Lepisosteus oculatus: one gene and its partner. The protein of the gene in region 2 interacts with the protein of the main gene of each other region in a biochemical or structural test. Links are inferred from orthologs where the notes say so. Each region holds a gene or a part of one and is shown on either strand. Other genes may lie near its edges.

Region 1 (16,903 bases), on a different chromosome or scaffold from region 2:
ACTTTTACCATAGACATGCATGCTCCGTGAAAGCATCTTGGTGGTGACGCTTAGCTCTTACCTAGTTCATTACATCTGTGAACAAAGGGAAAGGTACCTTTGCAAGAAAAAACTGTACTTTAATTCTATTTTCTGCAGGCCGCTATTTTTAAATCCTTTAAGGTGCATTCAGATTTCAAAGACCTTGGTTAAAACTTGGTATACCACTCAACGCCCCATGCGTTGGGCAGTATTTTTTTTTTTATTTTCGTTCTCACTGCAAGCACACCCACCTCTGCTTATGGCTCTCACTGCACTTTCTCTGCCCATTGCTGAAAAGGCAATCCAAAAACACAGTCGGACGCGATTCAAAGAGTACCACATAGCAAACTATACCCTAGACAGACCTGTTCGGACCACACTGACACCTCAGCGTGCAATTGGAAATGCCCTACAGACAGATGGTCTGGCTGAGGTGCACCTCAAAGTAGCTAGCAGAAACTGGGTATCAGTCTGCAGACAGCCTTGCCGCGAATCCGGTCAGGATGAGTGATGGGCTCGTAAAGGAAGCGTGCAGTTTGCCCACTGAACACGGGCAGAAACCAGACAGATTTCAAAGCCACTGGGTATTCACTTATTAGAGGGCGACTGTCCAGTTCAAGTCCGACAACTACAACCGGCTGCGGTGTGGCCGACAAACATAAAAAAAATAAGACAACAGAATGAGGCACATAGCACACACCACAATGATGGAAACATGAGATCTACTCTTTCGCAATGGTTTTCAAGGAAGGGTTACGACTCATTACTGGGCAAGACACCTGAAGAAGGCTCCACGGCCAAAACATTGTGTTTTCTTTCTTCTTTTTTTCAGCACGGAATAAACCTATTAGTTGTTCCAATGGAACACTCTTGGCTAACTGGTTATATATGTAAATTGTCTCTTTAAATGTCTCTTGCTACACATTCTAAATAATTTGCTTCATGCTTACTTACTGTACTTATTTCTGATTAAGGCTCACTTGTTTGCACTGACTTTTAGTATTTTCTTATGAACTATGCATGGACAATGTATGTTACATAGCTTTTTCTACACAATCAGTAAAGACAATGCTTTCCGTACGCTTTCATTGTAGGAGGCACAGTTGTGATGCTTAATAAACCTTACAGGTAAATAAAATGAGACCCTGGAAATGAAATCTCAACTCCCGCCACCTGCACCGGAGAATTCCGGCAGTAAAGACAAAGACTTCTGCCATGTCGACCTCTACAAAAAAGAAATGGACGAAGCACCGTTGCGATGTTTTCATGCAATACAGATTCGTTAACTGTTCCAATACAAAAGAAGACCCAAAGCCCCAGTGTGTTCCTTGCATCAGGCTGTGTGAAAACAAGAGTTGCAGCCCCACAAAACTGAAAAGTTATTCAGAAACAAAACCAGCAACATTGTGGATAAGCCTCTTGAATACTTTTGATGGCAGCACCCTGACCTAATGTTATCAGCTCAAGTTCTTAGCTGGTCAACTACTTTGAATGATAAGGCATATCTGACTGCAAACCGTGTGGCAAAAAAAAATGGCCAACAGATGCCGAAAAACCTGTTTTTCCGGCATCTCAAAATTCAGCATGTACACTTTTCATCAGGAAGATGGACATCTCCAAAGTATCCTTCTCATTGAAACACAATAGTGAAGAGGATTTCAAAATCTATTATTTGGCCACTGTCGGTTAGGGATTTTGCAAACGCTTTTCGAGAGTACCAATGCGTCAAGTTATGCAACAATTTAGGAGACATACGTCAAAGTCTTATGAAGAATTTTTAGTTCGTATCTAACATACGACAAAAACACAGATTAACAGCAATTCCTTGCATTTATCACATGTTTTACCTACAAGGGAACCCGCTTCATACAGACCTGAAGAGCAACACCCAAGGGGGGTGTGATGCAGTCATTATGCGCTGGTGGTCCCATTACACTGCAGAACAGATGGAGAAAGGGGAAACTCCTTCACCAATTTAATTAAGGGGTAACTTCAGGGAGTGGAATTTAGCCAGGACACTGAGCTTAACACTCCTATTCTTACAAACAGTGTCATGGGATATTTATTTAAAGACCACATAGTCAGGACCTGAGTTCAGCATCTCATATGAAAAATGGCACATCCCAGATCACAGTGAACCACGTCCGCAGGGTGATGGTTTGGAAATTCTGGTATACAAAAGCACCACCTACTGGTCCACCAACCCCGCTTACAGCACCAGCCTCGTTTTCCTTAAGCGACCTCTTATCCCACTAACTAGGCCCAGCCTTGCTTAGCTCCTGTGATCAGACTAGAAGCTGCTAATACTGATGTCTTAAAGTGAAGCTCTTAATGAATTTGTAGGTGGAAAATGAATTACACTACCTAATAAATACAAAGGAATTACAAGTGATGGTGTAGCAAAAAACGACAGATAGAAACATTCTAGTTTCAACAAAAATATCAAAAGTACCTGACAGTGTTGTTTGGAAACACTGTCATGATTAAATCAAAGCTTTTGCATCCAATGGTATTCCAAGATCTTACAGCCATACTGAAGGAAGTAGTTAGAATTGTGAATTTCATTAAAGTTAGCTCACCGAACAGCAGAATTTTTGAAGTGATTTCTTCAGAAACAGGTACAAGAATAACTATTTAATAATTCACATTTAAACCCCCTGTCCTGTGACAGCCCTGGTATTTACCAGTGTGTCTCAGTTCAGGAAAAGATTTGCGCTGTTCTAGAAAATAATCAAATTTGGCAAATCTGAAAAATGACAGCTGGTTAATAAAGTTGTCATATTTAGCTGACATTTTCTCAATTTTAAACAAACTGAAAATGAACTTACAGGAAAGAGGCGACAATTTGCTTCAACACAGTGAACAGATACAAGCATTCCTGAAGTCTCTGGCACTGTGGCACACATCATCGAAAAGTATTTGCCCAGGTTATTACAGATAACCAATACTGTGAGATTACACAGAGAAATGGTAATTATTTACTACCTGTCTCAAGAATTTGGTAGCTACTTCCAGAAGATGAGGATTGACAATTTGAAGAAAAAGTGCAAAAGATCCTTCCTCTTTCATCAATCCCTAATCTATACATTACGCCTAACTAAGAGAAGAAGCTACTGCAACTAACCTGTGAAAGCACACTGAAAATGTGCCACAAGCCATTAAATTTGTCATATTTTTGAGTCAACGTCTTCAAAGAATATCAACTGTTGAGTATGATACTGTAAGTGTTCAGTTGTTGCTGCCATTCACAACAACCTTAATGTGCGAAAAGCGATTTTCAACTTTGATAAGGTTAAAAACAAAAACGAAAAACCCCACTCAACAGCACACTTGAAAGGTGGGAAACCCTTTTATCTTATGATCCTGATAGGAGTAAGGCCCATCACACAGGCCTGCCTAACCTTTTTTAGGTGAAATTCAACCCGATTATTTTTATAAAGCTCTTGAAAACACCTTACGTTCGCAATGATGTTTTGTTTTCATTTTGTATGCGAGTCGACTTGACACGGCACAAACTGCCCTATCGTTACTTTATGAAAACTAAAGTTCTCAGATGTTGTTCTGGGGTCACAGCGACAAACGTTTTTTCTTTCCCTGGGTTCTGCGAAAAGTTTCAAAAACTGTGCTTTGTCACACCCTCCTTTCCTTCAGAATGGAAACCGGATTCGGGCAAAATTTAAACTGGTTAGTTGTCTCGGACAGAGGATTATGCCAACGGAAATGGGCATCCCAACCTGGCAGGGGCTATGCCAGTCAACTGAGATTAACTCAGGCGCACATATGAGGCCTATCAAAACTGAATGCTACTAAGTGCCCACATCTTGGGACTCGAAGAGGGATGCCAGACAGGTCAAGGATTATGGGTTTAAACGCAGCAGTTTTGAAGTATCACTATGGAGCAACACCATAAAGTCTTACGCCTGCTGACACTTTGATAGTCTTACACATGAAATTTCAGAAGAAAAAGATGGTCTGTGAAAAAAGCTTGCGAGTATCTTATGGCATGTACTGATGAGATCACCCTGTAGGCTTAATTTATACAGCATACTGTATTAAAGTTAAAGTTTTTAAATTTTAATGCTGGTACCCTTAAAATAACAGAACACGGATAAAAAAAAAACTGATGTCATTTTAATTGGGCACCTTTCTAACCCTAGAGGTCAATATGATGCACATAATGCATTTTGGAAATTTCTCCAAGCTCTCTACAAGAGGAAACAGACGAAAAGTGGCTTACAGAGAACTAACTCAAATGCAGTGAAGAACTCTTTACAATTCTGCATAAACAAGACCTGAATACTGTCAGAGCCACTAAACATTAAGCCCCTGCAAAAGCTACTGGTTGAACCCTAAGAACACAGGACATTTTAGCTCCATGCAGTTCGTGGCTGTAGTAGGTCCACCTGAGCCTAACTCTCTAAAATGACCAAATTAAAAAGAATCATCATGCTTTGCAGCAACTTGACACTTTTGGACTGGCCAGCACAATATAATGCAAGACCCCACTGATATGTGCGATGAGATCAGATCCTGTCAGTTTAAAACTTTTCTTCATAAGGGCACACACACACACACAAAAAACAGCTTTTAAACTGAGGAAAGAACACATATTGATCTATAACTTAGCTCCTAACTCATAACTACTTCACATTCCTGGCTCCCCTTTTCAAGCACAACCAAGGCAGGAGACAGATATCAAGTTAATTACACCACCTACAGAAAAAAAATAGCAAACTTTACATAGGAGCCTATACTGTAAAGCTGAAAAAAAAACTAATTTAACATAAGAACTGGTTTATTAATATGGAATTTTTCATAACATGCAGGTACCTTATCGACCTTAAGCTCCTCAACAGAACATATTTTGGGTCAGGGAGACTAATTGCAAATTACATAAGAACTTGTATGCGAGATCTTTTTGCTTCAAGCACGACGGGTTGATTAAGGACGGAGGTAAACCTCGTTACCATATCACCTTAAAACCTCAAGGGCATCTTCAATTGCCCATAATACATAGAGCATTGCCAAGCAGTCTGCACGTCCCTCTCTGGGGATGACTTGCTTATATAGAAAACACAGAAACACAATTAAGCACTAATTTGAAACTCACACTAGGTAAACTAATTAGAACCGGACACTCAAAACTGCTCGGAATAGTAAGCCTAGACACATATAAACTCCACCCCAATAACTTGGTTATCTAGAACGTTTCCCCACCATTTTAGCCAACGCTAGGCATTATTTTAAAAGTAGTGTTTGTTCAACCAGAGACTCCATCAACTGTGGTTACGTACTGTAATTACCTGCATCCAGACAAATAACTACGCTCAAGGCACCCGATTGCACAGACTGCATAACACCATCATGGAACATTTGTGCATTTAAATTAAAAATAAATTCACCGAGCAATGCAGTTCTGTGCGCAGCCCCCAAAAAAGACGTGTCTCCGTGCACCCGCACACCACCATCATACTATGTATTGTGTATATGACACAGTTTACTTACTGCAATAAAAATGTGTCATCCCAGACTTGATACCAAAAAAGGCGAAGGAAGTTGCTACCCTTAGTTACGTTATTAAACTCGGATACCTGGCATTCTGCACACTGATCAATCTCGCCAAACTCTTCTTCTCGAAACAAAATCCATGGGTCCTCCATGATGTCAAAAGACCCGACCCTTTTTATTATCAGACATCTTAGCAAATAAAAAAAAAAGAGGAGGCACTTTTTTTTTATTTTCCCATTGCTTTTCAAAACGGAAGCCGCTAAAAAAAAACACAAAACTGTGAGCGATTTCAATACCGTCTAGCTGAGAGTCGTCAGCTAATGCACCCAAAGTGTAAATAAATGTAGCTGTTCTTTTTTTCTCCGTATGGCCTCTTGAGATTTTTTCTTGATACTCCATATCAAGCAGACACCTATTGACTGGCTGCACTGTACAGTACCTAACCCACGGCCTCAGCGTAACCCGCTTGGGACTCATATTTCCAGACGGCTCGTCGCCCGCATAACAAAAACACTTAGCCATTTCTAAAGAAGATACTTCTAAGATTAATATAGTTTTAGATTACCTTCCTTGGTTTTCACAGGTGCCGTGATATGTTGCTGAGAAAGCAAGCCCGGTGTTGGGGACGTGGAGAGCCGGGACCAAGATGGCGTCCCCTCCAAACTTCCACCACTTCCACTGTTACTTTGGACACTCATCAAGCTACTTTTTGGAACGAGAAAGCAAACAAACACAGGCGTCAATGGCAGTGAAACCTCGTGATTTCTGTAACCTGCAAGCCTCTGGCATCAATCAATCATCTCGTATGATCCGGCCCAAATTGTAAAATTTAACATTTTTTAAACACAAACCTCCCTATACCTCTGCAGTGCGTCTTGAAGTAGCCTGTGTGTGTAACCTTTGCATTAGGCGTCACGCATCGCTTGTGCAAACACTATCGCGAGGCTCGTACACCTCAGGCAAAAAATTCTACTGATGGAAACGGCAAAACAAAGAGGCCATCCCAAATTGTATGAAATACTTCCCAAGTCGCACGCTCTTCATCAGAGGCTTTGAATGCATTAATATTTTCATTTCTCATTCATAAAAAAAAAATGTGTAAACTGCAGGGTAACTGTGCTCCGTGCTACCTGTGCATTCCTCCCAAATTTTATAGGGGACATTTTATTTCATCACCGCATGAGGATTAAAATATGCAGACACTATTATCATATTAATAAAAATAAAGACAGTTCCCTGGCGCTATTTCAATTTCCTGATGCACTACGATGCCATTTCCAATTCCTTATCGGTAACGTAGAATAACGTAAGAACTTTGTTTGAAAAAAAATCTCATATCGCGAAATAAAAACTTTAATGTACATACACACGAACATAGTTTTCGCCTTCCCACAATTCATTATGGTGGTTTTAAGTGACGTAGGTTTAACCCTTTGCGGCGGACTTGCTAGTTGTTCAAGCTGTCAATCAAACCGCGATCACTAATTACGATAATTAGGATGTGTTTGTGGCGTTTATGTAATAGAATAGTTTAATATGAAAATTAGCTGATAATTAAGCATAAAGTAAATCTAATAAAAATCCTAAAATATTGCAAAAATAAATTGATGTATATTTACTTAATACATTAATCGTATTAAGTAACTATATCAATGTATTGATATAACAATTCTTTATAAACTGGGATAAGTGAAAATATTGTTTGAAGTGGTATTTATCACTTTTAAATATTGTGACCTTTGATAAGTGAAAAGAAATTTGGTTAAATGAATGTACTATTTTGGGTTGCCTATATACTCTCCTCTCAACTGTAAAAACGTTTCACACAACATTAAAGCACCTACTGTACTTCGTGAACATCGTGCAGTGAAGAAAAAGATTATTTGCACCTTTGAGGTCCTAAGAAGGGTCAATCATTTTAGTTCAATGTTGTTTTGTTGTTGTTGGGGGGTCGGCATCGGTATTGTTAAAAAATAAATTTTAAAAGGTCAATGAAAAATTAATTTAAAGGTGTATATTAATAAAATGGAAGTATAAGAAGCATATTAATAGCATAATATTTGCTGTAGAGTGGAAAAATATAAAGCATGACAATGTATTGGCGTTTAAATACGACAAAGCAAAAAAAGTGTAGACAGCAACCAGGAATTATTTTGCAGTTCCGTTTGCCGATTAGGTCAACCATTAACTGGGTATTTTAGGTTGAAGGTCATATTGCACTTTTTGTATTTGTCTCCATTGATTGATCATGAAGAATTGATTTTGGATTACATGTAATGGTAAGATTGTTGTTGCAGCAGTTTATGAGTGTGAGTCTCTTATGGAGAGTTCTCAATTAGAAACTGGGAAACAAACATCTGGATTTTTATGTAATAAAATAAAGCAAGTAACATTGTATTGTATTAGCTGTTGGTTTATACCGAAGATAATTTTCAGATGCAAAATTAGAAACAACCAGGTTCACGTTATTTTTGTGCATTATTCACATTCAGCACACTTTTAAATGTCCATAGTTTCCTCAGGAGCTGGAACATTCGGTTTTACTGTATATGTTTTTTGTCCATCCAAGAGCCATGCATTTCAGAGAAGGAAAATTATTAAATTGTTAAGGTAGTTCCTTAGAGTAACCGTTCGTTTTCACACATTTTCCACTTTTTATGTAATTACATTCACTTAATGCTGGGAAAAAAAAATCAATAACAGGCTTAGAAAAGGGTAGTTTGTTACAGATTTTAAATAATTTAAATATAGCATACACCTATAAATCAGAAGAGTTTAAGAATTCTATTTTATTATATATATGCAATACATTTATTTTTCAAATATATGTATGGAATTTAGAATTTTTTTAAGTAGATCAACAAAATATTTGTTTTCAAATCAGTAGACCGTGTGGTAGCAGTGTAATGGAGACAAAAGATTGTTGTTGTTTTTCCCAGTGGTCTTTTAGAAAAATAAAATATCTACTCCTAACAACAAAGACATAACAGAGTCCCTAAAATAAGAACCCAACTGGGGTCAAACAGCATTAAAACACAGGGGTTAATAATTTCCTGTTGCATCTCCCAATCTGATCTTTTAGATGGTAAAGGCATAGAGAATGTTCTCAGCCAGTGATGGCTCACTTGTTGTTCTATGCACTTGCTATGCACAGATGGCTGTTCAGAGTTCATTGAAATGACTGTGATGCCTCCTCTCAGTAGAAACATCCCGGCCTTCTTTTTCACACACCAAGCTAAGCTTCCCTTTTCAACACACAGCCCAGACCAGCAAATCCTTTGGCACAAGCCTTTGTCTCACAATAGCATGCTTCAGAACTGATTCAGTGCATTATACCACCCCAGAAAAGCAAGTCATGTGGGTCAATAGTAGGCATTTAAAAATTCAATTAGGAAGCAATCAAAATAATTATAGAGGCATTTTTAAAATATTTGTTGGAATGCAGCTTTCGTTTTCATTCAGGGCATTTTATTTGTTTTCTTTTTTTACTACTAAAACGAAGGCATATTAATGTGCTACATCCTGGAATTTTCCACTTGCTGTGAATGACTGGTTCAGGATTGAGTATGCATAATTTTTCCTTAGATAAAATTCTAACACCGGTGCACAGCCCAAATGAAACACTGGGCATGGAAATTTACCTCAGATATACTATTTGTTTTGTTCGGGACTCAAATTTACATCTGGTGCTCAAGTCAACATGCAATATGAAAAATTAGTTACTCAAATTTACATCCAACTAGGGAAAATAATCTTAATTCAGGATAAAAAATCTGAACCTGTCTGATTTGACTCCTACTAAAAATTCTGATATCTGTTCTTCACATTGTGTAGCTCTGGTAGTTGTCATTTGCTCTTATTGTGAACCTTCCTAATTTGTCTCAGTATTATGACCTGAAACAGACTAATACCTTGAACAGATAAGTGCTTTTGCAATTTGTTGCATTGTGAACTTTCTATTCTTCTTATTGGAACCTGTCCTTGTAAACTGCTTTTAGATTTGTGCACTGCAAAAAGGCATATGCAGGACTTAAGAGATCACTGATAGTGCCCAACACAAGAAAGTTTAAAAATAAGAGGCTATAAGGCACATCTAGACTGTCCAGTGACGTCTTAAAAGAAATCAGCTTCAAATCATGCCTGGGTATCTTATTCCAGTCCATTCTGTGTAAGAAAGTGTCCCCTCAGTAGTAATTGGAATAGTAATTCCTTGGTTCATGTCCTGGTATTGGTCCCTAAAATAGTCTTTTATGTTCAAGATGAAAAAGATTGCATGAAGGGTGAACCTTTAAGTCTGAAATACATGTGGTCCCCATTCTCTGAAATAATTGCAAAGCAGCAATATTTTTTTTTTGCACCATTATGGTAACCACAGCTGTACACAACATTCTAAATGAGGTCAGTATTGACATTTTACACATCTAATGATCTGTTTGGCCTTTTATTGCTTATCCACCTTATTGAAGGAAAATGATGTGTCAATACTTTGCTTTTTCCATAGCTGCCTGTTTCCAATCTCACATTCATACTTTTTTGGTGGATACGAAAAAAAAACTCTTCAATTAGATTGTATTATTATCATCATCAAATGATAGTTCGGGTGGGTAGCTGCGTCAGCATGCGTAGGCTGCAAAGGAACAAGTTTATTCCATGCTGAATAAGGTGTCAGGCTCACATCTGAAGAAGGCTCCACGGCCAAAACGTTGTGTTCTCTTTCTTCTTTTTTTCAGCATGGAATAAACCTATTACTTGTTCCATCATCAAATGATGTATTATTTCCTTAAAACATATAGAGTGATTTGGTAGTCATCCTATGACTTGTACCATTTGCAAAATTGACTAGTTCACAAATGTCCAAAATGTAGGACAACTGATATACTGTAAGTTCAAAAGAACAGTGGTCTGAATACAGATCCTTGTGATACCCAAACAAAATATTAAAAAAAACTTTAATTGAATAAAACTGCTATTTGATTGTAAAGAACTGTACCACTCAAGCATTCATCATCATTTTGTGAATCATGCATTTTTAAGAACCTTCTCAGTATAACATATGAGCCTTTCAAGTCACTGGCTTTCTTTGTAGCTCAGTCTTGTCAAATCTCACAACCTAAGCAAGCTTGGTCCATGTCAGTAATGATACTGGAGACTTCCAAAGAAATCCAGGTTGGTACAGTGAGTGGCCTTGCTGGAATAAGTGGCAATCTTCTCTCTGGACTACAATTTCCAATCTACAGCATGGTGACAAGGGACATAGATCTGTAGGCAGTGTGCTGTCCTTTTGTTGAGAGTTTCAGGAGAGGTCCTGACTACTTCATCTGTTCATAAGACTAGTCATATTAGAATAGGTGTACCCCAGTATATTGGCTAAATTCCACTTCAGGTTTGGACAGTCTTACCTCAGTAAATGTCCCTCTCACTTCAACTGGTGAATTAACATCTCACTGTATCATGACCTCATCTGTTTTCACTTTAATTGTCTTTAAATGGCTATGAAGTTCAAATTTAAACACTCATTAATGATCTTTTGGAAAATGTAAAGTACTTAAAATAACAATGATTACTTACTAATGTGAAAGATAAACATTTGAATAAGTAAAAAATTCCATCACTGATTACAAAAAACTGAGAAGATTAATAAGACTGTCTGTACAGTCTAGATGTACAGTATGTAGTATGTTAGTGCATGTTAGAATCTCTATAAAAAGATGGGAACAATGCCAAGCTACAGAAATGTACTGTACATTAAAAGAATAAGCTGAAACATATACATTCTAAGGTCTACAGAAAGGGTCAACCCAGTTTGACATCTTCAGTAAAAAACCAAGGAAACATGGCAACAAAGGGAATTTATTTAGGATGGAAAATAGGCAACACTTCTTTACATAAAGAGTGATGGTTGTCTGGAACATAAGGTTGAGGACCAGACTGTCGGGTCCTCCAAGAAAGAGATGGACAACATTTTAGTATAGCAGACAGAATGGCATCCATTCTTATATTTGCAGGTTCATTTAAGGCTTTTATGATCATGAATTGCGTATCAAGGGAAACCTTTTGCATTCTTCAGAAAGCTGGCATATTATTTCGATCTGATTCGCTTTTTATTTATGTCTTGTCTCACAGCCAGTAACATATTCCAGGTTTCCAGACGCAAATATAATAAAATCATTTCCTTATGAATAATATCAGTTTTGCACATTCTTCTCTCAAACTATTAGTCTTGATTAAAAGCTCTTTTAAAATGAGTGACGCAAGAGAAATAGGAAACATGAGGGTGCAGTGGAAACAGGCCATTGGCAACTCCTGTTCTTTGGACATGCACACTTTATCATGCTTGGATGCCCTGTCAACAGTTTCTGCCACATCTGATTCTGCTTGTTTCGATAAGTGCTTATCACATCCACAGAAATCTGAATGATGCTGTAAGAGACCTGCAGAACTCAATCCGTGCTGATGTCAGCATCTTGCTGTCCAATGCAGGGCTCATAGCCGGTGAGTTGCTTTGTCAAACGTCAGTATCCCATGGCTTCTGATACTTGCTTTGCACCCAAACGCGGCGCATTACCACTCCTTTCTTCCTGTTCACCTGGAGCCTCCTGTCTTCCAGGTTCTGGATTTCTTGTAAACCAGCACTCACAAACAAATGGTGGACTTCATCTGTTGCAGGAGACGAGCACAAAAGCAGCACATTAGCCTTCACCCATTCAAAAGCTCTTGCCACAAGTCAAACCGTCTGTTTGCAAAACATCTGACACACAGGAACAGAACACTCTGTGATCCTTTCTAGTCATGTCTAGTCTGTCATCGTGCAGCTGCGGTCCTACTGAGCTGGTTTTCTATACCACTTAAGCATATTTGAAGTTTTGACAACTTTTTGTTCTTGTTTTTTTTTTTAAAAAAAGAAGCCGCAAACATTTTCCAAACAGTGCAAAAGCATCAACTGTTGTTAAGGTCCATATGCATGTCACCTCTTGTAAAAAAGTAGACACAGGTACCATCTCCTCTGGCATAGAAGTTTTCAGACAGGCAACGGCCTGGGAAATGATCAAGATAGCCGTGTTAGTTCGACTGAGCTGTAAAAATACCACATCACAACATAGACGCAAAAATAACACTGAGATTTAGATGAAAAACCCAATGGGTTAACTACACAGAATAATAACAATAAGATATTTTCCAGTAACCACAACATGTAATAAACCCCCCAAATATATGACATTCATTTTCCAGCATTTTTTCTTCTGAGGGTGTGCATTTTGTGCAAAAATTATAGACTAGAAATAAATTTCTAATATTTGTCATGGAAGTATAATGCATGCCATTAAGACAATGATGTTAAAAAACTGCTTTGGAGCAGCCAATCCTGAAAGTGTGAGGAAAGTGTTTGACTAGTGTTTTTCTTATTGTGTAGAATTATTGTAAAACAATTGGATAAGAGAAAGCTAGAATACACAGTGCCCAATGGGACATTAAAAGACTTGAATGTTATTTAGTGGTACTTCTGGTGATGATTATACTCACAATACAAGCAAGGGATCAACCATTAAAATACAAAGAAAGTAACACTTGACTGTTCCTCTTCTTGTGATGTTGTATGTGCATGCGATAAGGAAAAATATTTTACCAACTGATAAGGCAGAAATGAGAACTCAGGATGGCAGTATCAATAGGCTGTGTTGGTCTGTTGTTAACTGATGTGGGTGGGCGATCCCAGTCTTTGTTTTTTTTTCACACCAGAAAAAAAACAAAACAAAAGCCAATGGATTTTCAAAGTTTTGTTCAGGTCACAATGGCAAAGGTGATGCACGTAAAAGCATGGTGCTTAACTGAAAAGCAGTAATCTTCTAATTTAAACACACTGACAAATTAACTGAGGAACGCAACGAGGAACCACAGGAGCACCTTGCTTAAATCGAAGTTGTGACATATCGTATCTGCCATAATCTCGGAATAAGAACACCCCCCCGGGCTTCAGGAACTGGGTCAATCTCTTTACAACTCCTTGCATTCTGTAAGGAGAAAAAACACACAACTAATTTTGTATTACAGCAGCAATGATCGAGAAAAAAAAAACAACTTAAAAAATGAAGTGAAGAATATCCTAGTTAAAGCACAAGTACGTAAACAAACAAACCATTTTTTTCAACCATGCATTCAACAGGCTCCCACAGTCCGGTGCTGCTAGCAAATTGTGCAAATGCAGGAAACCTCAGCACACAATAGAAAGATTCACCTTAAAAGTATAGGCACGTTTGCGCAAGACAGCGGCACAATTTCTCAAAGACGACTAGGAAGTCTTCTTTCCTTTGTCTGCACACAATGACATCATTTTGAACTCAACATGAGCAGACACATTTCTAGGTATTATGAGCTGCACCTAAAACACTGCAAGAAGCCTTAAGGTTCCAATCTAGTGGTCAAGGTTTGTCTATTAAGTGCGTACAACATCAATGTGGGTAGCTTTCCTCAGATAACTGATTACAACACATACCCATAATAGGTGGATCATTCCAAGCACATTTCATCGTATTGAAAGTGAACAGTACATAAGAAGACTAATCATAAAAAGAGCAGTCAGACTATTCTGGGTGCACAAATTATGCGATGCTTCCTTCATTTAGAATCAATAAGACATTGCTAAGTAGATATGTACAATGCATTTGACAATGCCATATAATATATACAGTAAGATAAACTTTCTTATGCAACCAATGTATACAAAACAATTGCTTTGTTTACACATTTAGTGCAAAAACTGATACAGTAAATTGAAATTGCTCATTTCTGGCCAGTCCATTTTAAGATCTGTACAAAGAAAAAAAACACATCAAAATAGAATAGCGAAAAATCTATTACTGCCTGCTGTGAGATTTGGCTGGCAGCCAATCCGCACCCTGAATTCTAATCAGCTGATATCTACTACAGGCTCCTGATGTAGTGAAATGTCACTGCTTGTTACAAAGAGCAGCAGACTAAGCTCTTTCAGCAAGAGGCTTTGTTCTCTGACTTCATTTGACTACCAGTTCTTTGAAAACAGTAACACCCACCAGCAATATCTATCAATTCATAAGTAAATAGGCGTACTTTATTTTATGATTCATAATCCGCACGTTAAACTTTTGGTAATCCAGTATTTTGTAAAAACACAACATGCATCATACACTTTGAGCCTCCCTGTGATTGTATACTACTGCTATATTCCTGCCCATTGTCCACATTGAACTCTTTGCCCTGTTTGGGTCTAACGAAAATTATCATCATCTGGAATTAAACATACAGAAATGTCATGCACAACAACAACACGACCATACAGGCATTTCCAAACTTCAGCCAATTTTGTCTCAAAGCACACCCCAAGCATTGCCCCACTGAGCAGCAGAATTTTCTCTCAATTTTGTTCAACGGTTCTTATAATGTTGCATTTAAAAAATAGCATGTGACGATAGAGTGCATGTCTTTCAATGCACATTTTGCACATGACTTGAAAACAAGCAGGCAGTGTTTTAAATCAGAATAATGGAATGGATATATAACTGATGAGAATGCTGGGAGATGCCTGGTGATGAATGAGACTGAATGCTTTTTTCCCTTGCCCTCTGACTTTGACCTACCGCTCAGGGTGAATGGACGACAGCACAAAGACGACAAGAATGATGTCTAAGCTCTTGGGTGGAAATGGGAAGGTGGCGGTTTCATCGCAGACATCATGGACAAAGACGTGACACTGAGCAGGGCAGTATCTTGGGTGAGCCTGCACAGAGAAAACGGCGACCAGCAACATATCAGAAAACTGCACAATGTTCTTTTATCATACCTTATTTTACCGTGCCCAAACTAGAAAAATGATCTCAGGTGAGTAATCCGCAAAGGACAATTAACATGAGACTGTGTTCTATTTCACCATAAACGTAAATGCAGGGATCCAACTCTTACTTAAACCCATTGCTTGTGGTAATATCTTTGTTGCTTTTTGGTTACATAATTACATAGCGCATATGTACTTCAGTAAAAAAAGGTGCATTATTTAACATCAAATCGCACAAAATCAGAGCACAGAAATACTGTACAGTGAACATAGAACGTGCCGAAGGTACTACACAAACCACTTATTTAAATGTCACAGACTCAGTGCTTCCTGAAGACACATAGAACATAAATAAATTATGCTAGAGCCCTGAATAAAAATCCAAAGTTGAATATTTCATATTTTCTATGAAAAATATGTGTTACTCTCCTTTAAGAAACATAAATTGCCACTGCGGTTTTGGGGTAAAAGGTTTGGTATGTTGCTTCCATCTCAATTCAGCTGTTCGGCGAGATTACATCAAAAGCCAAATTCAGTTTGTTGTTGTTTTTTTTAAATGAAAACACTTGCATGCACCTGCAGACAGATAACCTGATTTTAAGTCATAAGTAGTGTTTCTATGGAAACCCTGAGCTATATACCCAGAAAGACATCATCCAAGTCAGTCCTATTCAAAACATAACAGTAAATCACGATGGTAAATCTTCAGTACTGAACATATTAGGCACAAACTGATGGTTGCACTGGCACTTCTTTGGTTCAACGCTGTCAATTTCATATCAGACAGAACCTGAGTAATTGCAATGAGCAGCACAATACTGCTCATTATGTTTACTTCATTTAAAGAGGTAATCTTTGGGGACTATTTAAAATTTACAGTAAGAAACAGGCATTTCTACACTCTGTTAAAACAGGCCATGTTCTAAAAATTAAGTTTAATAAACATCAGCAAATTTAATTTCGTAGCTCCTTCATTTTGCAGTCATTCTCGTTTTGTGGCCACAGAGATCGTTACTGTTAGCCACTACACAAAGGCACAACTGGCGATTCCAAATTGCCTGGTATCGCAATGAAAAAATACTAAAAAAATCTAGATTAAAACACAAATTAACACTTTTTACACTAAACCCTACTTTAGATACCAAAGCTTAATTCACTAAAATATCACATGTATGAACACAAATGGTTTGCAAACTGACAGAGATTAATCTGTGTTTAGTTTCACCTTGCTTCTGTTATGGGCACTCTCCATATAGGACACAAATAGAAAGAATAATTAGGTTACTAACTGCAAGCAGATAAAAAAGGAACTAGTAAATTAAAACACATAAAGCTGAAATTTCTAACAATCACCTACTGTACCCTTTTCCAGTCCATGGGTTCCTACATGGGAGCAAAGCACCACAACAGCTACGTTATGAATTACATACATAGGCTTTCCTAGTAGGACCTCTGATTTTAGCCACATCTTTGTACTAAACTGTCAGTTCTGTGCATGAGCCCTCTGTACCACTGAGACACAGTATATTAATGTGATACACATAATTAAGACCGTTGGCTTGCCTGCTG
Region 2 (16,610 bases):
TTACAGATATACTGTATGTACAAATTATTTGTTTCCCTTAAACTTTTGTTGTACTGTATGTAAGAATCTGTCATACACTCAAACAGATCTGCATGTGGGTCTTTTTAGAGGAACTTTGTGGTGTATCTTAGTTGAATTGTACAAGATCCTTGTGTACACTGGCTTAGGTGACACTTTTAAGGGGATATTTATGAATGGCAAAGTTTAAAACATACCCTCATTAAGGATTCTGAGATTAAATGTAGAACTGCAGCTCATGGCCTATTCCTTAAATTAAATATGAACTCACAGTGTTACTGCTTCAAACAAATGAGTCTTCATTTAAAATACAACCAGACAACATTTCCTTCTTCTAGTCACACTGCTTTGTTCACTGGCAATGAAAACCTGCAAGCTCAGATGTTTAAAAAGAGCCGCTCTGACAGATGTTTTTATTGGCTTAATCAGATACTCGTAAGTTCAACAGTGAATGTCAAAATTTTGTTTTTTGTTTTATATTGTGAGGTGTTGAAAATAAATTAGGATTAGTACTCCTTTTTGTGCACAAATTTCACTTGAATGAATTATGTCCTGCACAATTCCACACTCTTAAAACTCTCACATCACTAAAAAAGAATTCATGTGATGTTTTGCACTGTTTTTGAAAGAAAGAAATGTTGCATTGTCTCTGAAAGTGTGTGAGTCAGCATTTTCTAATGCTTTACAACAATTTACATTGTCTTGTTTTGTTTTTTAAGCTAATTATAATGCCTTCCACTGAACATTAAAGGAAAAGAAAAAATATATTGTTCAAAATAGGTGGTACACACATACAATAGGAGGTATGTATCAGTATAAATTGTTATTATAACAATGAGATAGAACTGCTCAGTCTCTAACATTTTAGTAAGAAGTACCAGGTATATGGTATTGCAAAGCACGAGGCAGTGCTGAGAATTTTCATCATATAAAAAAAAGCTACATCTGTGAAACAAGCCAAATCTTAACCTATATTGAACAATAATTTCAATTTAGTTCTCCACTTTGTTCATTTTTAAATGTGTATGGATTTTAAAGTCTTTAATCTCATAAAACTCTCATTTCATCTCATAAAACACAGCTCTCTGCTTCAATGTCAAAAGGAAAGCCAAGGCTTTATTTTGGCTGTAATTTAGGAGAATATTTATTACTGCCCAAATGTTAGTAGTATGTCTGTGGACTATTTTCTTCGGTACTTCTCTGAATTTGACTTGAAGACCTGTATATTTCAGGCAGGCACTTTTATGTAGATTTGCATTCTTACTAAACATTTCCTCAAGGAGGAGGTTTTGAATTTGAAACAGGAGTGATAAGTTAGCTTGTGATTATTGCACAAAATACCTACAATGGGTAATACTTTAATCTAAGAGTCAGATTATAAGTCATGTTATTTATGAGTTATTTGTTAAGTTATTTATGAGTGACATACAAGAACTTAACAGATGACGGACAACTCCTTTTGAAAGACTTGCTCAATAATTCTTACCTTTTATCACTAATAAATTATACATACCCTTCATGTTTCACTAATATGGCATGTTTTGCTAGCACAAGCTGTGTTTAACTAATAAAGAATAATACATGGTTTACAGATAACCCCTAAAATAAAGTGTTATTTGGGAAGTTGAATTAATGGGCATTTAAAATATGAAACAAAATGTTTTTAGAATTGTACTGATTACATTTTATGATGTGCACCTATATACATTATTAAGGAAAGAATAGGATGGATCTGGTCCTTATACTAGTTTGTACAAAGAATTGTTAAATGTAAAACATATGCTATTATTTGAATAACTTGCTTGGTTATTTTTAAATTGGACATGCTATAGCAAAGCAAACAGTGTAGTGCTTCATAATTTATTCTCATCTACTGTGCCACATATAGTATATTAGTTTAATAAGAGAAAAATATGGTGAGCTGATGCTCTGAAATTCTTTAGGCCTGTACAGCAGGGGATTCATTCTTTTTTGTTATCTGTATAATTCTGCAATGACAGTCACAACCTCATTTGTCCTCACAATATCACATACGACAATACTATAACAGTATTAGCCTTGGAAGGTACGGAAGAATTGTCTCGGGGCTAAATTTCTCTACCATTACATTATGAATGTCAGCATGATGAAATCTTGTCTGTCTGCTTTGGTTTTATATCTTATTTCACATGGGATCTGGGATGCCATTTAAGAATTTTAAAAGTTATCTGTAATCCTTTGCATGCAGGAACAACTTCATTGCTCTTATAAAGCCAATTTAAACTATAATTTTACTGAGATTATTCCACCATCACCAAGAACAAAATACTGCAAACTGTTCAGTTATGATACCCAGCGTCCCGTTTTGAGATCTTAATTTACCTCAATACTGTATATACAGTAAGTCAATATGTTAATAGAAGTATCTTGTTTAAAGTGATTATCAAATGCTGGTCCCCCGGTCAGTGTCATCCGGCTAGGCCTTTTCAAGAAATGATTCGGAAAAGCCAGCAACGTGAACTGACACTAAATAACATCAAGCAGTATTTATGTACTTTCATCACTTTCGCAGGAGTCGTTCGTTGGTCGTTCTTTACATTACCAGCTGAGCGCACTGATTTATTTTGTGATTTAGTTGTGAAGTAATATTTCACGTAAACTGGCACTGTCGCCTAACTAATGGCAAGTCATTGGGAAATAAGGCCTCTGTAATGCATGACAACATAGACCGGAGCTATCGGTACTGCAGTGTCCTTAGAAAACGCTCGACACTAGAATTAGCCTTTTAGTACATGATGCAGTGGCCTTTAGTATTTGGTATTACTTAAGTAATTATTAAAGTTAAATCAAACCCAGGTTATATAAATGTAAACACAAAGTGTGCAAATCAAATTAAGCAAACCAAACTCAGATGGCAATATTGCTGGTAGTAAAAAACAAGTGATGCCAGACCCCATCCCGGAAGAATACAGTTCACTGTATTTGCTTTACAAGTGATGCTGAGCAAATGAGCACAACCCGCAACCCTCGCTAGCAAATCCTAGCTTTTCTCTGGCATTTATAAATTCTGTTAAACATTACCTGCGCTGGTACTGCGTGAACCTGCATAAGCACACGACCAAAGAGCGTTGTGTATTGTCTGAATATTACGGCTTTCTTGACGTAATGACGTGTTACAGAACTAAGGACATTTTCATCAGTATTAATTCAAACTAAACACAATTACAAATTATCCGCTACGTTCAGCCTTTTTTTTGCTCCTGAGAATACCAAGGAACAATAACAAAGGGCGTGCACATACAATGCCAGTGTACAGTATAGCCAGTCGTTTTTAATATAAGTGGATACACGGTAGAAAATAAAGGGCTATTGTACAAATCACAAGACATATAGCACTGTACCTGTTATCCTACGCCTTTTCTTTGCCGAAACAAATCTTCTTTTACTGCATTTCAATATCTGATTCCAAGCGCTTTTAATACCGTTTTTTTTTTAATTTTATGTGAGATAACGAATTTATTTTTGAATGCAAGTGATGATATGGAATTCCTCCAATGAACAGCCCTGTTCGCTCTTTATAGTCGCTCCATGTATATCGAGGGTTAAAGCACCCTGGTTTGAACCATTCGTTTTGTAGGGAAGTTTAATTCTATGCCTCATATCGTTCGTGGAAATTAAATAAACCAGGTTTCCATTAATGCCTTAAAATAGCTTTATATTACTTAGCAATAGAAAAATGCATGCTCACTATAGTATTTAATAGCAGTTAGGCATATTTATTTTCTGTACAAAAGAGCTTCACCCCTTTCCTACCTATCGTTGCTGTTTCCAATGCAAACAGAGACTTAGCAACACACTAGTTTACCAGCCTGCCCTGGCTGGTTAGCTGGAGTTGTAGGCACTTTGACCACACTACATGGTGGTGATGACACGCTCCATGTTATTAAGCTTTTTTCAATAATATTGTCCTTAATTTAGATGTTCTGGAGAATACACTTTTCAGGGTCCTTTTCGTGCATATTTTGTTACATGGTTCTCTTCTGCTGTCGAGTGAATTATCCAAAGTTATAAATAGGTGCTGCAGAAGCTATTTTCTCATTGGCAAGAGTAACTTTTCTTATTATGTTACTGTAATTATACGATCAAACCGACCCTAAACAGAACTACACTATTATAAATCAGCTTGACATTTTTTTCTTCTAAATGTCCTATGTTTAAAATCATTTTAAAAAATAATAGAAGACTTTAAAAAGACATGTTAATCAACACCGGCACATAAAATCTCGGGGCAAATGAAACATAAACTTATTTTCCTAGATTCATTTCACGTCTTTTATGACCCATGTGTAAGGGAATGCAAAGTAAATCAATAGTCTGCTTCTTTTCAATACAGTATTAATAGAAAGAGCTCACGTTTAAGTATCATGACTGAACAATAGCTAAAATTAGTATTTTGATTAGGTGTAACTGATAATCTTGAGGCATTCATATCTTTCATTCCGTATCCAGCCTAATTAGCTGTTGCTGTTATTATTATTAATAACAATAATATTAATTTGGCTGACAATTATTCTCCAACGCAAATTACATATTATACAATGATCTGTTTTGTTTAAATACACATCTTAGTACTGTACATGTGTATGGGTTTGCTAAAGCCACTGGGGAAAAAGACTCAGGATCTCTAATCACTAATCCACACTATTAAATTATAGTTACTGAGGAAAAATAGTTCTCTTGAAGCATGTTTGAGTCCCCTTTAAATAAATGATTATATTTTGCCTAGTGTCCTCTTTAAAAACGAATATTCCAATAAAAATTCATGCAGGTTGTCTGCACACACAAAAGAACTGCTACAGTTTCATATTTTACAATAGTAAAATGAACATGGAATATTTAAAAATTTCAAAATATTTAACTTGGTAAGAGACATCTAAGCTTTTGCAAAGAACTGTTTAGGTGCCCAAAGTGCATTAGAACTATTACAACAAACAATAATAATTGCACCTCTATTACCCCCTGATATCACTGTACCACTGCAATCACAAATATTCATAAACATGTATGAAACTTTGTTTAAATATGTATCATTGATTCCTGTTCTATTTGATACCATCCATCCATTTTCTAACTACTGTGTCCAATTCATGTTTTCAGGGGAGCTGGAGACTAGACCAGCAAGCAACAGGCACAGGGCAGGGTACACCCTGGACAGGACACCGAGCCCTCACATGGCACACACAGACACAAACACAGACCTGGACTTACTTGCACCAGGGCATGTTTTCCCAGAATCTACAGTAATTAACTACTAGTATGTCCTTGGATTGTGGATGGAAGCTCACATGATTTTGGGGAGAACATACAGACTCTATGCAGATAACTCCCCATGTTCGGTATAAACCCTGGGCCCCAGTGCTACAAGGCAGCAATGCTAACCATTGCATGACCATGCCAGCCTTATTAAATACATATTTAATTAATATAGATACATATTTTGTTAATATCGTCTGTTATTTATAGTAATATTATCTAATTCTCTGACTTTAGAAGTCAGAGAAGAGCTTAGAAGTGCCTAAGAGCTTAAAAACATTGACAGTTGTTTATTTCGATTCCACCTTTATCTGCAGAAAAAAGACAAATTTATGCAAAGGTTCTTTGAACAGGTTCATTTATTGTGAGGCCAACTGCAAATATCAGGGCATTGAATGAATTTTCAAAGCACATAAGGCACTCATTGATTTCAAGAACCTTGACTAAAAGAGGATGACATTACACTTGATAAAAGTATGCTCCTCCTGGATTTTTCAAAAGAAATGTGGTGCAATATATTTCAAAGCCTCAATCTACCTGCCAGTTACAAAGAACACCCCGGTACTTGTTTGGCAAAGTATTTTTTTCCTTCATTTGATCAAATGGACTCCCACAATGAAGTGCTGTGTTTGTAATTCACAGTTGGTTGGAGAATAACATTTCTGACTATTGAAGACCTAAGATACAACAGTATTTTTTTTAAAATAACAAGTTGTGAAAGTCTACTTCAATTTTGGAAATGGGTAATAGTGATATGATAGGTTTATTTTACTGACATTTTTATTTAATATAATATGAATTTAATCTGATGCAATACTCTGTATTTTTCATTCAAACAAGTACATTTTGTCAATCCATTTATATATATATTAATTGCAAATGACATTAAATATTAAGAAATCTGTGATTTGGGATAAAAAGGAGAGGTTCATCATTGTATGGAAATCATCATAATCATTTATATTCCAAACTAAAGAAGGGCAAAAGTATGATAATTAATACATTTAACACACATTATTGTACTGTTCCAATAATATTCAGATTTACCTTATTGTTGACTTTGCACTCAAAGAATCTGCCTTAATCTTTCTATATGCAACCTGCTCTTCCAAACTTTTTTATTTCACGTGGCCATCTGAAAGCAGGACCTCTTCATAACTATTTTGTATCACTCGATTGAATTCTAGTCCAACAATTCCTTGGTCCAACAATGATCCATTGGTCCAATTAATCACCATTTTAGTGTCTTTACTTTGACAGTGATGACACATTGTGCTCTAACTCATTCTTTTTAATATAGGGTTTTGTCATTCCAAGCACACATTTGTCCATGGTTTTGGGGGGTGCCTAGTAGCTTCTCTATCACTGTTGTATTTAGAGTTCAGGGTTCAAGTCCACATTTTAATACTTTCATAATAACTAATACTTTCATTTTAAGGCAAAAAACATTTTTTCCACAATAATTATGATATATGACACTATTGTCACTGCCATAGGATCTAGCTATATATTGATGAGGGGTATCATCATTACCTGCTATGAAAGTAAATGTAGGTACTCATTGTATCATGGACTTTGGATATATATTCACCCATTTTTGCCATTTTCTCTCATAGTTGTTCAACAGATATTGGCTTAGAGCAGACCAACTAATTATTAGAATCTTGTCTGTAAATGGGTGAGCCCTGTGGTGTGTGCTATGGGTCAACAATTTATAGCCATTTTATAATCGACCAATAATGGGAACAATAGTCATTTTAGAGCATTTTCTGCACCAGAAACATTGCAAACGATACGATTCAGAGATGCGGGAATGGTATTTTGGATTTACCTGCTCTGCCGGTGCATGCAAAAAGAGTTTTGGTCTAACAAGTGCCTAATTACCTAATTAAGATGTTCACATCCTACACAGTTATGGTATCACTGTTACTGTAAAGGGATTTTAAAGTCTGTATTAGCAGTTCTTCCATTAGCCTGTTCCTTGAGGGAAGGGAAGAAAAATCATTAGATAGTATACAGCAACAACTGCGAAGTTTACGGGCTAAAAAAACAGCCTTTTTTAAAACTATTATTGTGAGAGAAGTAGTTCTTAAAGTGAAAGATAGGTTTGGTTGTGTTCAAGCTGAGCAAAGGAAAAACAATGTTTCGGGAAAATGTGCATGCATCACTTATTTAACCAGCAGGTGGCGCCCACAATAAAAGTTACAAATAATTTACTGTACTGTGTGTGCAAAAAGATCCAAATCCTCCGCCTTCCCAAGGATCATCTGCTGGGCTGAAGGCTGCTCTCGCAGCTCTGAGCTGTGCAGCCGGTCATGTACAATTTAATGTCACCCGTAGGCACAGAAAAACGGAGATATTCGGTATTTGACGGCGTTACTTCTATTTAAAAAACTGGATTACTAGTTGGCTGCGCTGTGCGATACTTAGTATTTGACGTGGGTGGCGTGTTTACTAGAAAGCGCCGTGTTTTGTAGCGCTGACTCCGCACTTAATAGTTTTCGTGTAGCAAAATATGGCAAAGGTTCAGGTGAACAATGTAGTAGTGTTGGATAACCCATCTCCCTTTTTCAATCCTTTTCAGTTTGAGATTACTTTCGAGTGCATTGAAGATTTGCCCGAAGGTAAGTAAGTGTACTTCTGTTTCAAAACTGTAAATTGCTAAGAAGGTAGAGAGAAAACAATTGATTGGAGGTTGCGAGGCCTGGATTTGCTAATAAATATGTAACAGTTTTGTAATTAACAATTGTGCATAACGGAGTACTAGTAAGTGGTGTTTATTTTTATTTTCAAATGACTCTAACGCGGATATCTAGAAATTCTGTAATGGAATGTATTCTATCACCGAGGGGTCGCGTTATCATTGACTCAGGTAATCGATTTATTTAGGCTCTGTATTACGGATAAGGTAGCCATGTTGTCAGGAATATTCTAGTTGTTGGACAGTATGGTATGAGTGCATTTAAAAATATGTATTTTTCTTTTGTATAATAAAAGCAAAGTGACAGTAGACCCACTGACAATCGTAGTTAGCTAGATGTATGGAGAGCATGACCACGTCTAATTATAGAAGTTTTTGTTTTTACAAATAAAGCGTGTAACTAAAAACATTAAAATAAAATTATTTGAATATAAACTTGCGAAAAATGAATCTGTTAAAACTATCTTGGTTAATGTATGAAGTGCTCAATCATGTTTCGCCACAGGAAGGAAGTAGGCTGTAACTATAACTAGCATCAATCCTTGGCTAGGCTCCTACCAGGATTGATGCTAGTTATAGCCAATAATCCGTATTCTGTCTAAATTGGCTGTGTATATTTATAGTTACTATAATCTTTATGCGTCCGATGGAAAGCTTAGTTTTATCACGCTTTTGGTGTAAGTGGAATTTTTCAATTTGTCAGATAGGATTCCTTAATCGCCATGCCAATTAACACAGTTTTAAACTTTTTTGTATGTAAGAGTACAAAAACAATAATACAGTAAAAGTTAGTCGCCCCACGTTTTTGAAGTAATATTATTCTCTATCATCGTTTTTCGCTGTAATTGGCGTGGGTGAAGTCAGTGCGGCGGGTTACAGTATGTGTCAAATCGCGAGCGGGGCAGCATTTTTTTTCTGTGGGGAAAAATATTTCCTTTGAACATTTTTTCCACCTCGTTATATTTATTCACCGTTGGCGTGGGCAGTCGCATTGAGAGTGTTTTAAATGTCACTTTGCTTATACTTTAGGCTAATACGGAATTTGTAGCACCCATTATGGATAGTCTAATAATATTTCTTAGTACTGATTAATGGTAAACAGCGACACATTCACAGTCCCTTCATTTAAATGAAAGCTAGAAGTGTTTGAACCAGACATTGTTATGTAACCTCCAAAATGTACCCTTTCTCAGCAAAAGTTACAATACGTTACAATAATGTGTATCTACCAGAGGGTCGTCTTAAAATTCCATGTTATGCGAGATGATTGGTTAATGACACAAACCACTATGATTTTCTGAGACGATAGAAATCTTGTGAGTACTGTATTTGCGTGTGTGTTTGAGAAAACCAGCCTTATACTTTAAGGTCATAGGCTTAGTCTTATGCTTTCCAATCAGGGGACTGATGAATACCTTAAGAGGTTATCAATAGCTTGTTGGCAATCCCACAATCCAGAAGTATTAAAACTATTTTCACATCTCTTAGGTTTATTTGCATGCTTACTTGCAGTAAATTTTATAGGTGCTTTCCAGTGCCTTAGGTGCTGAAAGCAGCCAACTGCTTTTCATAATTTGGAAATTAGAACTAAGGTGGTGTCAAAGAGAGAAAGAAATACATTTATCTGTTTACCTTTAATGCAACCAGTTGGCCAGTGTACCTAGGTCTCACTTTATCTTGTATCTTGTTTCAAAATACAATTAGTTTTTAACAAGATATTGCATAATTACAGACCTCAGAAATAGATGTTGAAAATAATGGATGGTTCAAAGTGATAATCATTGCTAGAAATGACTTGCTGTCCTCTAGTGTGGTGAGTAGTCCTTTGTTCTGTTGTCTGTCGACAGTAGATTATGGGCATTAAACTGTATTGTAAAGCTTTTTTGTCTACATAGCAACACTTTGAAACATAAAAAAGCTCTTTGCTTTAAAAGTAGATAAAGATGGAGAGAACAATATCAGTTTTTCCCATTGGTGATTTCCTGGGAGGGTGTTGTCACACAATGCCATTCACAGACGTGACAGTGCATGTTCACAAGTCATCTGTCAGGCATGATAATGGGGCCCCAAACCACGAAGGAGGTTGATCATGAATTTGTCTTACAGTATTGTTGACATGAGCTTTATCGAGACCTTATGGGATAAGCTGCACTGCCATTTTCATAACTTTTTTTTCCCTCCAAAACAAGCTTCAGTTTACCAGATTTCCAGAGTGAGAAACTGGGACATTTGAATTCTGAAAATAAGTGCCACGCACAACTCTGAGACGGTTCAAATTCCTCTTTGTAATAAGCAGCTCTTTTACGTGTTTATCCTTTTTATATGGCTACTTGGTTGAAAACCATAAGCAACTTACATCTTGGAAGATGAACCATTTTGATTTTGGTTCCCACTTCATCACATTTTTAAGATTCATTACTACAGTTTAAAATATCTATGTCTGCAAACATTCAGCTCCCGCAGATTAACTGAATAACTAAAAAAGCATTAATGGGCTGTCGTTGCTGCTTGCTGTTATAGCTTATTCTAATCACATAGCAAAGAAAAGAGTTAAAACTGTATGCACAGCTGCTTCTGTGTTAGTTTGAGGGCTTTTTTTTAGCATGCACAACTTTTTGTCCTAGGTTTGTATAGCCAAAAAAAAGAAGCCAGTTTTAACCCTTTCATGATTAGTAATGACGATAAAGATTAAACGTGTTCACAGTGTAACTGTGACATGTGATAATGTGAAGCAATTAAAATATTACAAAGCGTGACGTAATATGTGGAAGGTAAAATTATCTATGCAGTGTTTCAAGTCAGTTCAGTGCAGACATTTTACAAGGTGGCCATAGGATTTGCTGAGAACTCTGGGAAAAGAGTCCATGTCAACTTCAACCTTTCAAAGTTCAACTTTGTTTTATCAAGATATTTTTTCAGTTTACATCTTTTGGTGATGTAAAGAACTTTTTAACATCTTGTTTGTAGAGAACTGACCCTTCTCTTACTACTCTTTTGCCTACTCTGAAAGCCTGCTAGAATAAGTTTAACTGTAGCCTTTGGTAAACTGTTTGATATTTAGCAGGAAGAGCAGAAGGAGAGTGGTGGGAGGTAGGAACACATTGTAATATCACATTGTGACCTCCTTGATGCAAAGGGACTCTTCGAATCACAGCCACAGGACACTGTGAGAGCAGCTGCTAGGAGCTGCGCACAGCTTATGGATCAAAAAGACCAATGCAAATTATGAACTCTTATTCAGTTATGAAATTCCGATAGAATTATAGAATAGAATTCCTTGCTATTTGGTATCCAGTCTTTTATTAGAAGTGCTGAAGCTATACTTTCATTAGGTAGCTATTGTAATATAGAAAACAGAGGTTCACCTCTAAAAAAAAAAGTCAGATTTCCCCTGAAATTGAACTAAATTTTGCTCCCTACAGTGGGTTAATTTAGGCTCATTGTAGCGTGTGTAACATGTATGTGACACAGTGGCCATGTGATGGAAAAGGCAGAAGAACAAGATTGCTGTCTTGGAAATAAATTATATCGGTGGTGAATCTTTTCTGTATTTCTGGACTGCAAAAAAGCCTGCAAGTGTATGTAGAAGGAGAGAAAAGGCTGTGTCTTCCCACCCTCCCCCTTAATTACAGAGGATACAGTTATGGAATTGGAAAAATAAACAGCAAAGTGCCACAGTAGTACCCAACAGTAAAAGAAATTTACAGACCAAGCGCAGGCGTCCTTCAATTGCAGGAGCTTTCCTTTCGCCTGATTGTACAGGTGGTTTGTGCAGGCCACATTTTCCCAGTTCATTTCACTTCATTCATCTATATTTGAAAGTGTTTTATGGGTCAGCCATTTGCTTGTTTCATTTGTTATGTTTTTAAATCATGGGTCAAGTTCTTATGTGTCCCCTGAAAAGTTCTGTGTCTTGTATCATCACGGATTCCGCTGTTGTATTGATTAGAGATTTAAGAGTAGCTGTACTGTGTTGCAGGAGTCAGATGGCACGGTGTTGTGTGTTTGTCTAATGATACCACAAATTCTCTGTCAGGCGTTGCCATGGAAGTCTGCTGCTTAACAGCTTGTTCATTTCCAGTTCCCTGTAGGTGTTTCTTGATGTACCGAAAGAAGGATGTACAGGAAGCACTGTTGGAATGCAGACCTTCAGTTAAGCTTTAATCTAATAAAACCTTGCAGTACAGTCAAGAGTTTTCAGGTTCACCATGTGCCTGTAAGTGCAGAGTGGTCTCTGTGAGGGCCTTGTGTCTCTTAACATGATTTAGTTTTCCTGCTTGGTCACTCAGATATCGATAGAAGAGCCCCTGAGTGCTCACATATTTTGGCTGCCAAAACAGATGATCAGTACACCACAACCTATATATAGGTCACATTCAACATATTAGGAATACTGTAAATATGCAAAGCATTGCATAGCTTAATAATAATTTTATCAAAGTTCTTGCTTTATCAATTTTAACAATTGATAAAAAGTGGCCTGGTTTCTTTTCTTGTCAGTATGAATCCATACAAATTGGTGTCAATGAAATGAAATAGGTGTAATACAAAGTGCAGCAAAGTTACAGTGCTCACACTAAGTCTGATGTATTCATCCACTTTGATGTAGAGCAGGAATGGTGGGGGGTTGAAGGATATTTGAAATGTTTTAAAATCTGTAAATAACATGTACATTTCTTAAAACATGCAAGCCTGTATTATCTTCCTTAATACTCTTCCTTTCTTTTGTGATGGTTATTTTCAAATGTTGCATTTGAGGTCTGCACGACCTTTGCAGTCCACTTTCCTGCCACGTCAGTCAAAATCTGAACTTTCAAATAATGAACGTCCAACTTTGAAATCACTCTGAAGACCTAAGATCTTTTATTACTTTATTTTGAGTCTTTCAGATCAGTACCTTACATGGAACACAATTCTTATACTGTTTGCTAAAGAACTACCCCGATATTCCCTCTTTATCAGACTGAATGGTTATTATAAATCCTCATGCCTTTTGTTTTATGTTTCTACAGATCTGGAGTGGAAAATAATTTACGTAGGATCTGCAGAGAGTGAAGAGTACGACCAGGTCTTGGATTCTGTGCTGGTAGGCCCTGTGCCTGCTGGGAGACACATGTTTGTTTTTCAGGTAATTTTCTACTGTAAATTCAGTTTATTGACAATGTCATATTGACTGCTATTGGTGTCATTATTCACACACATCTAATAGTGTGCACTTCTAAAGTGTATTGATGATGAGTGTACATCAACATCAGGATGACTTCCGTCTCTGGCTGACCATTATATACCTTTTGTGTGACTTATATTGGTTTTATGCAGCATTTTTTAATAATGGTTACCAGAAGGATTTTTATGGGCATAGAAGATCCTATCGCCTCCTCACATGCACTGAGATATTTTTAATTTGTGTTAAAATATTGTATTCAAATATGCACATCTTCCACCTTTTATGATGACACAGAGCAGCTTTATTGTGGCAGATGTTTGCACTACAGAGATGCGATTTTAAGCCTGTTTATTGGCTGTTCCTTGCTTCTACCAGCAACATACTAATTCTTTGAGCTCCTATTGGTTAGCATTGATATCTATGTGCTGCATGCTGTCAGAGCAAGCCTGTATTTTTGAGCTGCGCAGAACATTTGTCAAGTGAATGAAAGTACCAGTCTTAAGAATGTTAAAATTATCAAAAATTCAAGAGTGGCAGTTAATTTTCTATAATTCATTACATTGATTGGAACCTGCTGCCAAGAACACCAGAACAGGGAATAAAGAAAAGTAATTTTTGATTCTGGAATCACTGTTTTTAACAACAAAGCTAAGTGATATGTAGTGTTATTACTGTTATTATTACTTGTACTATTAAACAATGAAATAGGATAAGTAACCTTGAATAATAAACAGAGATGTCAATTTAAAGCTATGCAAAACCAAAAACAGAAGTGAATAGAGTGTTAAATGTTTAATAAAATTGGTATTTGGCTTAAAAAGGCAGCATGATAGAAAAATATATTATTTGAACATATGTGATATTCTGTCTGACTTTTTTATCTTTGTTGTATGTTACTTTACAGTACTGATCATCTGTTCACCTCTAATGTTGCAGTATTTTTAAATTAATGATTTTTAAAAATATTTTACTTTTGCAAAATAATTGTATTTTCATGCTGCCTCACAGTTACTAAGCGTTTATAAATCTTGATAACATTTTTGCTGTATTGAGCATGATAAAGTGTTGTGTGTTTTCTAACACTTCATTACTGTTCATTTCCAGAGTGCATTTTTAATTTTTTAAGTACTCTTAATTACAGAAACACAAACACACTTTATAATATTATAATAATTGTTTTCTGTTTTATTTGGAAAAAGTCCAGAACACAGGCTAACTCCATTTTATTCTAAGTTTTCAGAGCTTATTTCAAGAACTCCTTGGGCTACTGAATTGTGTGGCACAGCATTTTAGTGATTTATTGATGGAGTGAAAGTCTGGGAATAAAAATAATGATCCACTAATGTTCCAGGCGTAACCTGGATTTTGTCAAGCAGGTGTGTGCTACTGGCACACAGGTGTTGGGTGGTGTTCAGTTGAACTTTTCTTCTGGGAGTCCTGGGACATCAGTGAGAACAACGTTGCTTCTGTCTGGCACCATGGATCTTGCCGTGCGATACAGAGGGTGTAGCTATGAAGCCAAGTCATGAACAGCTGGCGGGTCCAAATTCAGTGGGTATAAGATAGAAGATAATTCACAATTTCAAGTTTTCCTTTTTTAAGAAATAAAGAATCCCAGTTTTTTATTTATTCTAACTGCAGCTATGCAGATTTATTCAGAAAACGCTAACAAGTGAACACCCTGGGTCTGGTTTTTGCTTATATACAAGATCCTGTGGTTTTTTTACAACCTGTGGTGGATTAAACTGCTGTTTATCCAGAACCTTCTTTTGCGGTTTGGTATTGGGTTTGAAGCAGTGTCCACATTTGTTAGTTTGTCAGTACCTGAAATATTAATATAGCAAAATGTTCTCAGAATTACAACTCGGATTGAAAATGTACTTTTAACTGTGAGAGACAAATATACAAATATGAATTTGTAATATTTGCATTTAAAAAACATAGTAGTATTAGACATTTGTCATTTATGGGCCTACAACATACAGTATGAGAAATAGCTGCTCAAGAAATGTCTGACTGTGTCCTAGCTTCATTATAGTTTGGACAATTTTTATAAAATAGTCTGTTTAAAAGTTTCTGAAAGAATTCTTAGTTGGTTAAAGGTCAGATTTGACCATATGGTAATAAAAGCTGTGTTAAAAGAGCAGACCCCTTCTCTAAGAAGACCAGAATTGCCAACAAGTGAAACTGACCAACAATGCCAGGTAAAATGAGCTTTGCTGGGAATCCTAAAATAGAAACCGCATGCTCCACTTACAGCACAGTTTAAACTTCATGAGGATTGTGTTACTCTTCTTACCTCATTATTCACGAAGCTGTGCACTGCTGGGATAGATGGAAAGATATCATTCACACTGCAGTTCTGTGAGCTTCACATTGCACTGCTCAGATTCACTAGCTTGGCCTTTATTGCTTCTTAGTGTGTACTTTATGCAATATGCACTGCAATTACTAGAACCTTTTCTTTTTAAAAACTTAAAGCATCTCTAACATTCATTGACTGTTTTTGCAGGTGTGTATGTGCTTACTACCATCTGAAAACTGGTCAACAGAGCTGAGCACTGCAATTCTGATCCTTGTGTTAACCTTTAGGTGCTTTTTTTTCTAATTAATCACTTAATGCACTGTGGAAGATGATCACATGAATTTAATTTAAGGTGAAAAAAGAAGTTGTCAAACTCTCCTGTTAGAATCCTTTATATCTTGCATGAGACATCTTAGTCACAAATCTGTGCACATGTCATCAGTTATCTGCTCTAGATTAAAAATGTTTTTCTTTTGTTTTATTTCAGGCTGACGCAGCAAATCCAGGACTGATTCCTGATGCAGATGCCGTGGGTGTAACTGTAGTGTTAATAACTTGTACATACCGAGCTCAGGAGTTCATTCGAGTGGGGTACTATGTGAATAATGAATACACAGACCCAGAGCTGAGAGAAAACCCGCCTGTGAAGCCTGATTTCACAAAGGTAAACGCGCCTAAACATTTGCAGCAGTGCAGAGAGGAGCTGCACACACTTTAGCAAACCAGTGGCTTGACAGATAAGTCGTTATTACCTGGACTGGAAAGAAAATATTCCATCAAAAATGTCTGAAGGTTTTCGGGGGCAGTTAAATATCCATTTGTTCAGATTTTAGTACACTCATGCCTATCCTATCTAATATGAAATGGAATAGTGTCAACCTGGTACAAGTGAAAGTGGTATGTTAAAGCTAGTCTTGGGTGACTCACACATTGCTGGTTCAAATCTGGATAATATTGATAGTCAACTGATACCCCATTCAGCGGAGCATCACTGGCAGAGTAGCACTGGGGATAGAGTGGGTCACCTCTGGGTTGTGCAGAACAGCGACACCTGCAGCGATATCCTTGAGAGACAGATGTCCTGCTTCTTTAACCCACTCCTCTAAGGTTCTGTGGCACTGGCAGTG

The links.
Region 1: of the proteins of histone chaperone ASF1 (region 2) and tlk1a, one has a biochemical effect on the other in vitro, tested with the Homo sapiens proteins (3 studies listed by BioGRID). The link is inferred for Lepisosteus oculatus from reciprocal best matches to the Homo sapiens genes ASF1A and TLK1.

Annotation. Positions count from the first base shown.
Region 1 is NC_090707.1:16,286,652-16,303,554, forward strand, and holds the start of tlk1a (serine/threonine-protein kinase tousled-like 1), read right to left. Parts: upstream 6,935-16,903; 5' UTR 6,896-6,934; intron 6,495-6,895; exon of another isoform or gene 6,381-6,494; intron 6,235-6,380; 5' UTR 6,228-6,234; coding exon 6,095-6,227; intron 5,944-6,094; exon of another isoform or gene 5,929-5,943; coding exon of another isoform or gene 5,826-5,928; intron 5,638-5,825; exon of another isoform or gene 5,620-5,637; coding exon of another isoform or gene 5,613-5,619; intron 5,561-5,612; exon of another isoform or gene 5,546-5,560; coding exon of another isoform or gene 5,527-5,545; intron 1-5,526. Other genes in the region: mettl8 (tRNA N(3)-methylcytidine methyltransferase METTL8, mitochondrial), read right to left, coding at 12,035-12,186, 12,498-12,563, 13,432-13,538, 15,141-15,280. UniProt on the Homo sapiens protein: Rapidly and transiently inhibited by phosphorylation following the generation of DNA double-stranded breaks during S-phase. This is cell cycle checkpoint and ATM-pathway dependent and appears to regulate processes involved in chromatin assembly.
Region 2 is NC_090704.1:23,418,130-23,434,739, forward strand, and holds the start of histone chaperone ASF1, read left to right. Parts: upstream 1-7,539; 5' UTR 7,540-7,625; coding exon of another isoform or gene 7,626-7,673; 5' UTR 7,674-7,825; coding exon 7,826-7,934; intron 7,935-13,023; coding exon 13,024-13,139; intron 13,140-15,970; coding exon 15,971-16,147; intron 16,148-16,610. UniProt on the Homo sapiens protein: Histone chaperone that facilitates histone deposition and histone exchange and removal during nucleosome assembly and disassembly.